Zea mays: one gene and its partner. The protein of the gene in region 1 binds, or shares a complex with, the protein of each later gene. Links are inferred from orthologs where the notes say so. Each region holds a gene or a part of one and is shown in the gene's direction. Other genes may lie near its edges.

Region 1 (4,123 bases):
TCATATTTAATATTTTTTCAAACTAAAAATAATTTGATATATCTAATGAAAAAAAATTCAAGAATAACTTTTATTTTGTACCTAAAACTGAATATCTATTATACTTTTAAACTTTTTAACTAAAAAGTTGATTAACAGTGGATTTTAATTGAATGCAATACGATTTTTACTGAATAGCAAAGTGCTTGTACTTTGTTACGTTTCCATTTATGTAAAAGTATAGAATATAAAATACACGAATATACGTGTTCTATTTTCTAGGCAAGTGTGAGTGTAGGTTTAGAGCTAATAATCATGGTCCGAATCTTCATTTAGGCTTTGTTTAGATACTCTAGTTTTAAACCTAATCTACATGTATTAAGGGCTAATCCACATGGATTAAGGGCTTGTTCGTTTATTTGTAATCCACATGGATTGTAGGGGATTGATATAGATTGGAAGAGATTTTTAATTACTATGGATTTAAACCTACCTAATCCCTTTTGATCCATAGAGTAGGATAAAAACGAACATGCCTTGAGATGGATTAGGGGGTGTAAATTAAATTAATTTATATTTAATAGATCTCAATACATGTAGATTTGAGTAAATAATAGAGTGCCTAAACAAGGCCTTATGTATTGTACTAGTCGGTTGACCATGTTTTGCTACGTTTATTATGTATCATACAATAGGTATTGAGATATTTATTCAAATATAATTATTGTTTATTTCTAAACACTAAGTTATGTGTGGTCTGATGATTAGCCTTAAATTTTTGGAGCAAGGATCATGGATTCGAGTGCTTGTTCTGCACTATTTTTTGCATGATGTGGTAGTTGCGCGGACGAGATCGAGTGTTGTGGGTCTATAGGGCAATAGCTGAGAGAGCATTGCGCGAGCGCTGGACGTGGGGCCTATAAGCTATAGAGCATGGCGTCGAGGCGGGACGTGTTGGGCGGACCTAGAGTGTCAGCTTGGCCCAAGCGTCACACATTAAGGTATTGTTTGGTTCACATATTTGTAATGTAATGAGTAACAAATAACGTTAAATCATGTTTGTTTAAGTCCAACCGTAATCGGATACCACACTAGAAATTGATATCAGCCTATTTAAATTTGTTACCGCTGATTATCGAATGCAAACCATTACCGTTACCATTTACGTTACATTTTAGGAACCAAACGGCACCTAAGTTCTTATAATAGTTTAGATTAGATATAGATAATTCTAACATTTAAAATGTAACATGTTGCATTCTAAATTATTATCGTGTGAACGTGAACGGCGAACCTGCAGTCAGACTTACCACCAAGTGGACGCAGCAGCTTTAACCCCCCAAAGCCTCGACGCCGCGAGCACAGCTCCGCCGCCACCGCCCCCTTCTCATCCGCGGTCTCCTCCGCCTGCTGCATCTCTATCGATCTAGCGGGACTGGCTCCTTCCCGTGCTGGTTAGTAACCTTTGCTCGGATGAGTTCTTTCGTTCAAAGTGAGGATTCGGTAGTGGTGTTCTCAATCAAACCCAAATCGATGTTTTCGCCATTCCGATCCAGTTAACCGTCCATTTTTGTGCTGCGTGGTATTACCCAGCTAACGCAATCCAATCTATCCGGCCTTGGTTTGATAGGGTCCTTCGTCAATCGTCAGCGCGCAAGATCGGCACTTGTGTACATCTGAGCAGTTTCCGGTGCCCTAATTCAGGCGCGGGCGTTGTTGGGTTTTCGATAATTTTGGGGGTTCACCTGAACCCTCATGACCCAGGTGAAGCCCGCCCCTGGGGGAAGGATGCTGACCGTGCTGCGGGTGCACCTCCCGTCGGAGATCCCGATCGTCGGCTGTGAGATCACGCCGTATGTGCTCCTGCGGCGCCCCGACGGAGGCGTCTTCACCGACGACGTGTCTGAGACCGCGCCCGTGGATGGGTACTTCATGCGCTACAAGTGGTGAGCAGTCCATTCCGAGCCTCTTTTATTTCGTCAGTCACAATCAGGACAATTTATAGTCAACCAAGCATGGTTTCATCCATTCGAGTTGCTATTTGGACGCAAGCTGCTTCATTTATTTGTTTCACCATTTCAATACTGTGTCCAGACTCCAGAATAACCGAGTTATTAGCAATTTTAAGCACACACCACATTCTGGTTTGTTGAAGTGTTTTTTTTTGTGACACTGAATATTTTTACATCGCTAGTTTGAATACTTAATTGGGCTCTTGTCAGACAATTATGATTTCTGCCAAATCACGAGTTGTTTTTTTTCATAGTTTTTGACTGGTGTAGCAAGTTTTCTGATCCAGCATAATCTATGGGAACAGTATAGTCATTCGGAGTGGTGCATACTGATTGGTAGATATATGAATAGTTGGATGCTTAAGGTTCACTTTCTAGTTGCTATGTTTTCATGGTGCATTAGGGACCAGCAAAGTGTCATATGATGCTTGAATATTGTCTAGAAATGAATATACATGCTGAACATGTTAAAAACAACTGGTATAGGGTGTCAGATTCGAACTTTTTTAAGGCAAGAATACCGATGAAATCCTGAATATTGATCTTCCTTTCTTGAAGGTACCGCATACAAAGTGATCGTAGAGCTGCTATCTGCAGTGTACACCCAACAGAACAAGCAACACTTCAGTGCATAGGGTGTCTGAAGTCAAAAATACCTGTTGCTAAGAGCTACCATTGTTCTTCTAAGTGCTTCTCCGATGCTTGGCAACACCACAAGGTTTTGCATGACCGTGCTATAAGTGCTTTAAATGAAAACGGAACCGAAGATGATGAGTTGTTTGGCAGATTTGGTAGCGGCAGTTCGAGCTCAGGGGTTATTAGTGCTGCGTTGTCTGGTTCAACATCAAACCTTTCACTGAGCTCAGGTGTTAATAATGGACCTACACCTGTGTATCCAACAGGCACTGAGAAGAGTTCTGGTGAAACTTGGTTTGAAGTGGGATGGTCACGAACATATACGGCAACTACTGATGATATTGGACATGTGCTAAGATTTGAATGTATAGTTGTGGATGTGGAAACACGGGGGACTGTGAGAGCTCCTACTTCAGTCATGACATCCCGTGTAATCCCAGCACCGACCCCGACACCACGCCGCTTGATCCCTGTTAATGCAGCTGATGCAATGGTCCACTTCGATTTAGATAGCCGGACTTCTTCTTTTGGGACATTTACTGTGCTGTCCTACAATATTCTTGCTGATACATATGCAACAAGTGATACATACAGCTATTGTCCAACTTGGGCACTTACATGGGCTTATAGAAGGCAAAATTTGTTGCGTGAAATTATTGGTTACCATGCTGATATTATCTGCCTTCAGGAGGTATGAATGCTATTGTTTTTCATGTTTGAAGTTTAAGGCTCTGATTTGCATCTTTAATTGTTAATAAATTGCACTTATTATGTTCAGCATGATGAGTTTAAGAAATTACTATTGATGTTGTTATGTTCCTGTCAATCTGTGATACATTGAGATTGCTCCATTGCTTCATGACACCATCCTTTGGTCTTCTGTTAATTCTGAGTAACTAAATTGTAGTTATAAAAATAATGTTAATGTGATTTCTTCATTAGCCCGACTGCCCGAGGCAGGATAGTTTCCCAGCACCTTTCTGTTGAATGAGAAGTACTATCATAACTTTTTTATCTGCCTTCTGGAGTCCTTAAATTGTTTGATTGTTGTTTCTTGATTGTGCTGCATCCCCCCTTAAACTCATGAAGCATAAAACATAAGTGACACCTGAAATTATTCCCTTTCTCATATGATCAATGTCTCAGAGAGGAAGGAGTCTTTATTTTGTAAGAATCAGTATAAAAGAAAAACCATGCCATTTCTATGCTTCTAAAGGTGATCTATATGTTACTATTTGCAGGTACAAAGTAATCACTTTGAAGATTTTTTTTCACCGGAGCTTGATAAACATGGGTACCAACCTCTATATAAGAAAAGGACGACAGAGGTTTGTTTGGTTCTTTACTGCTTGCTGTAAAACCTTGGTATGGTGTAGTGCGTAATTTGGAATATTGCTGTCACAGGTGTACAGCGGAAGTCCTCAAGCAATTGATGGTTGCGCTACTTTCTTTCGTCGGGACAGATTTTCGCATGTCAAAAAATATGAGGTCAGTGC
Region 2 (4,244 bases), on another chromosome or scaffold:
TTCTGGGGCCGAGCCCGAGTCCGAGCCCTGGGTCGGGCGGATTTGAGTTCGCCGTCTTACGGGGCTTAGCCCGAGTCCGAGCCCTGGGTCGGGCGGAGCGGAGTTCGCCGTTTTTCGGGGCTTAGCCCGAGTCCGAGCCCTGGGTCGGGCGGAGCGGAGTTTCCTATGGTGCCTGCGGCCGGGCCTGACTGCCTGTCAGCCTCACTCTGTCAAGTGGCACCGCAGTCGGAGCGGCGCAGGCGGCGCTGTCTTTCTGCTAGGCCGGTCAGGGGAGCGGCGAAGTGACGACGGTCACTTTGGCTCTGGGGGGCGCGCGTCAGGATAAAGGTGTCAGACCACCTTTGCATTAAATGCTCCTGCGACTTGGTCGGTCGGTGCGGCGATTTGGTCAGGGTTGCTTCTTGGCGAAGACAGGGCCTCGGGCGAGCCGGGAACACGTTCACCGCTGGAGGGGGGCCTCGGGCGAGACGGAGATCCTCCGGGGTCGGCTGCCCTTGTACGAGGCCAGGCTCGGGCGAGGCGTGATCGAGTCCCTCGTATGGATTGATCCCTGACTTAATCGCACCCATCAGGCCTTTGCAGCTTTATGCTGATGGGGGTTACCAGCTGAGAATTAGGAGCCTTGAGGGTACCCCTAATTATGGTCCCCGACAATTACCTTTCCCAATTCGTAGTTCTTTCAACTTTATTACCGTCGACTATAAATATACTTTGACTAAAGTATGATTTCCAACCAAGATATAATTTGGATTAAGGTAATATCTTTTCTCACGTAATTTATATTAATCCACATAGAATATAATTCATAGTTAGTCAGATAATCTTCGAAAAATCATATCTTTTCAACCATAACTTTTAAGTGGTTTTCGAATCTACGATCTCATAGCAGCGCGTAGAATATCATTACACAGTTGTTTTCTATGTTTGGTGTAATGTTATTTTTATATATTCTTTGCTTATATATGTATTGCTACGATAAAAGTGAGGTTGCGAGACACCTGAAGTAATTAGAGAAATACCTGTATTTGCACCAAAAAACAAGTTATGCCTTAATCGCTCTTTTTTATCTAATAATGCTCCTGTGAATAAACTTTAGCCCATAAACTAAACTTTAATCGTAGTACTAATGGAACCAAAACAGACCTATGATATAGAACATTTAGGGCTTGTTCGGTTAGCTCTCAATCCATGTGGATTAAGTGAGATTGGATGAGTTTGAATCCCAAACAAATCAAACTTCTTCTTCTTTATTTTTTTTCAATCTCATCTAATCCATATGTATTGGGAATAACCGAACAAGGCCTTATATGGGTTGTAACCTTATTACCGCTCTCCACCAAACACACCATGCATTTTAATGAAGAGGTTCGTGCACGCACTGTGTTCAACGCAATTCCAATTTTCTATCCGAGTGATGAGTGACTGTGCACATACATCGTACTACAGGTGGGACCCGCTTACTAGATCAGATTCTAACATCCTGTTCGTGGAGTCGTCTCGGCGGCGGCGGAACAAGCCGGGAACCTACCGCAAAGGAGTTATTTGTGATTATAATCATTTCGTCGGGCGGCTTCGCCTCTTTGGTATCCCGCAGCCCGTCATCGCCAGATTGGTATTGCTGTCGTACACCACTCGCTGGATTGGGTTCGTTTTCATACTGCTGACTAATTTACCCTTCCTTTCCCCCTACGCGTTCATCTACCTACGCGCTCATCTACCGCAACATGGCCATCCTCGGCGTGGAGGGCTTCTCGGCGCTGCCCAGGCACTGCATGCAGCTGTGCGCGGGGTTCTTCGCGTTCGCGGTGCTGGCGAACCTGGCGCGGGACCTGCTGCCGCGCCGGCTCGCGCGGCTCGTGCCGCTGCCCATGGCCATGGCCGTGCCGTTCCTCGTGGGCGCCAGCTTCGCCGTCGACATGTGCGTGGGGAGCCTCGTGGTGTTCGCGTGGCACAGGCTCGACGGCAAGAAGGCCGCGCTGCTGGTGCCGGCCGTCGCCTCGGGGCTCATCTGCGGCGACGGGATCTGGACGTTCCCGTCGTCGCTGCTCGCGCTGGCCAAGGTCAAGCCGCCCATCTGCATGAAGTTCACGCCAGGGAGCTAGAGAGCACGGTGACGATGCGTACAGAACAGAGGGCATCGTTCGTCGTTTGTGGGGTGGAATCCGTGTAGTAGAATTACATACCAATCAGGCCTGTTCTAATGTCCATATGAGCTTAATGTACGGTGTATATATGTAAAACGGAAATCTGAAGGATGACAGGATGAATTGCCTGTTGTCTAGTAGCACGCATATTATTATTATAGCAGAGCATTAATAAAACTCTTTTATCTTGCACAAAGTGTTACTGCAATTCCCCAACGCTGTTCAGTAGATCCTAGTGCGCTCATCTCTCTTCCGCTGCAGTGGAGCAGCTTCACTCAGCGGCACCGTTTGGAAGTTGAAAGAGAAAGCTGAGCACGGCATCTCCGTGCGCAGTGCATGGCACAGTCGTCGGTACGCGCCCGCCTAACCCGTCGGCATCAACGATGATGCTTCCTTCCACAGCCACGGTTCGCTCAACTTGCCCAACGGTTCCTCGATTCGCCGCCGCATCGTCCCCAAGCTTTGCCCCTCTCGTTGCTTCGGTGGTGCTGTGGAGCTCTGAACAAGAGGGCACGGACATTCTCCGGTTACCATCAACCTCCCGTCGGCCGCGCAGGACACCGACGATGCGGCGGCGGCGGCACTCAGCCTGGTCACGGCCGCCCTGGAGATGTCGCCACGGGCCGAGGTGACGCTGGAGCTCCGGGCGCGCGCTCCTCGTGCTCAGGCGCTATCGCGACGTCTTCATCCATGGCTGGAGATCGACGAGGCTCGTCGTCGTTGCGACCGGACTGGGTGAAAAGGAAGGGTAAATTAGTCAGCCGTATGAAAACGAACCCAATCCAGCGAGTGGTATACGACAGTAATACCAATATGGCGATGACGTGCTGCGGGATACCAAAGAGGCGAAGCCGCGCGACGAAATGATTATAATCACAAATAACTCACCGCAAAGGGCGCCACCGATGCTAAAGCCACAGACGTCGTGGACAGCTTCCCTCCCTCTCCTTCTCATCCGCCGCTGCTCGAGAACCGCGGCCAGTCCATCTCCTGCCGGTGACCGGCCGCTCTCCTTTGTCCCGTGAGGGCATTCCCACCCCTAACCCTGTCCCTTGTTTCCTCTCTTGCACTCTTCGTTCTAACGCTTCACTGGATACGCAAAATTAGGGTCTGCAAGCGGCGGATGAGCACGCTGGCGCATCCCAGGTTTGCCCCTCTCCCTACGGAGCAAACTGAATCCCAAACAGATGGCGGTCAGTCCTCGTCAGCCCTGAAATCTTAAGGAAACTAATCACTGACACTTGCAACAGTGGAATTTCTGTGTGGTCGATGCTAATATTCGTTTTGGGTTTTGGCTTCCAGGGGCTGCACGGTACCAGTTCCGGCTGGTCTCTTACAACATCTTGGCCCAGGTGTGTCTGTTTTTTTTTCTTAGCTTTCTAGCGAGAAATTTGCTATTTTGCCACTCTCTCCCCGTTTTGGCTCTATGTTATTATGCCATCTCTGTCGGTGGGACCATCCGTGTGGATCATTGGCGGCCAACGGTGCCTAATAGTTTGCTCTGTGCTGCAGGTTTATGTTAAGAGTACGCTTTTTCCTCATTCCCCATCTGCGTGCCTCAAGTAAGCCCTTGATTGATCAGTTGTTTGTGTTGTGTATTGGATTTTCTCTCTCGAAAACGCTGTTTATTGGACTTTCCTTATAGTCATGGTACTTAAGGTTCTAATGCTGTATAGTCATGGTGTCTGAGAAAGTAAGAAATCTTTGGAATTTCCTTATCTAACTATTTTCATGTGACTTACTTGAACTAGGCTTCATAAGTGGAACCAAGTGATATTGAATTATACAAATTTGGTTCCATGAATGATGGGTTACCCAGCAGATCCTAATCAAACTTGATGACATGTTTGCTCAGCAATACAACTTTTAGACTTCTAAAAAGTAGTAATATACTCCCTCGGATTCCGGATTGTAAGTCATTCTGGCTTTTCTAGATGCATATATATATATATATCTTTTGCTATGTACCTAGACATAAGTTATGTTTAGATTCATTGTAAAATCTGTGTCTAAGAGAGCCAAAACGACTTCCAATTTGGAACGAAGGGAGTACTGTTATACTATTTAATTTTCACAACAGATATTGACAACATGGCCCCT

Evidence for each region. The genes of interacting proteins can lie anywhere in the genome.
Region 2: CCR4-NOT transcription complex subunit 6 (region 1) and Carbon catabolite repressor protein 4 homolog 4 share a complex: the UniProt entries of both Arabidopsis thaliana proteins name them as parts of the CCR4-NOT complex. The link is inferred for Zea mays from reciprocal best matches to the Arabidopsis thaliana genes AT3G58580 and AT1G31500.

Annotation. Positions count from the first base shown.
Region 1 is NC_050096.1:14,205,079-14,209,201, forward strand, and holds the start of CCR4-NOT transcription complex subunit 6, read left to right. Parts: upstream 1-1,323; 5' UTR 1,324-1,433; intron 1,434-1,609; 5' UTR 1,610-1,734; coding exon 1,735-1,925; intron 1,926-2,549; coding exon 2,550-3,318; intron 3,319-3,868; coding exon 3,869-3,955; intron 3,956-4,031; coding exon 4,032-4,115; intron 4,116-4,123. UniProt on the Arabidopsis thaliana protein: Acts as a catalytic component of the CCR4-NOT core complex, which in the nucleus seems to be a general transcription factor, and in the cytoplasm the major mRNA deadenylase involved in mRNA turnover.
Region 2 is NC_050101.1:154,491,327-154,495,570, reverse strand, and holds the start of Carbon catabolite repressor protein 4 homolog 4, read left to right. Parts: upstream 1-1,444; 5' UTR 1,445-1,535; intron 1,536-1,695; exon of another isoform or gene 1,696-1,724; coding exon of another isoform or gene 1,725-2,102; exon of another isoform or gene 2,103-2,874; intron 2,875-2,983; exon of another isoform or gene 2,984-3,007; coding exon of another isoform or gene 3,008-3,049; coding exon 3,050-3,165; intron 3,166-3,251; coding exon 3,252-3,337; intron 3,338-3,446; coding exon 3,447-3,496; intron 3,497-3,656; coding exon 3,657-3,706; intron 3,707-4,244. Other genes in the region: probable metal-nicotianamine transporter YSL16, read left to right, coding at 1,725-2,102. UniProt on the Arabidopsis thaliana protein: Acts as a catalytic component of the CCR4-NOT core complex, which in the nucleus seems to be a general transcription factor, and in the cytoplasm the major mRNA deadenylase involved in mRNA turnover.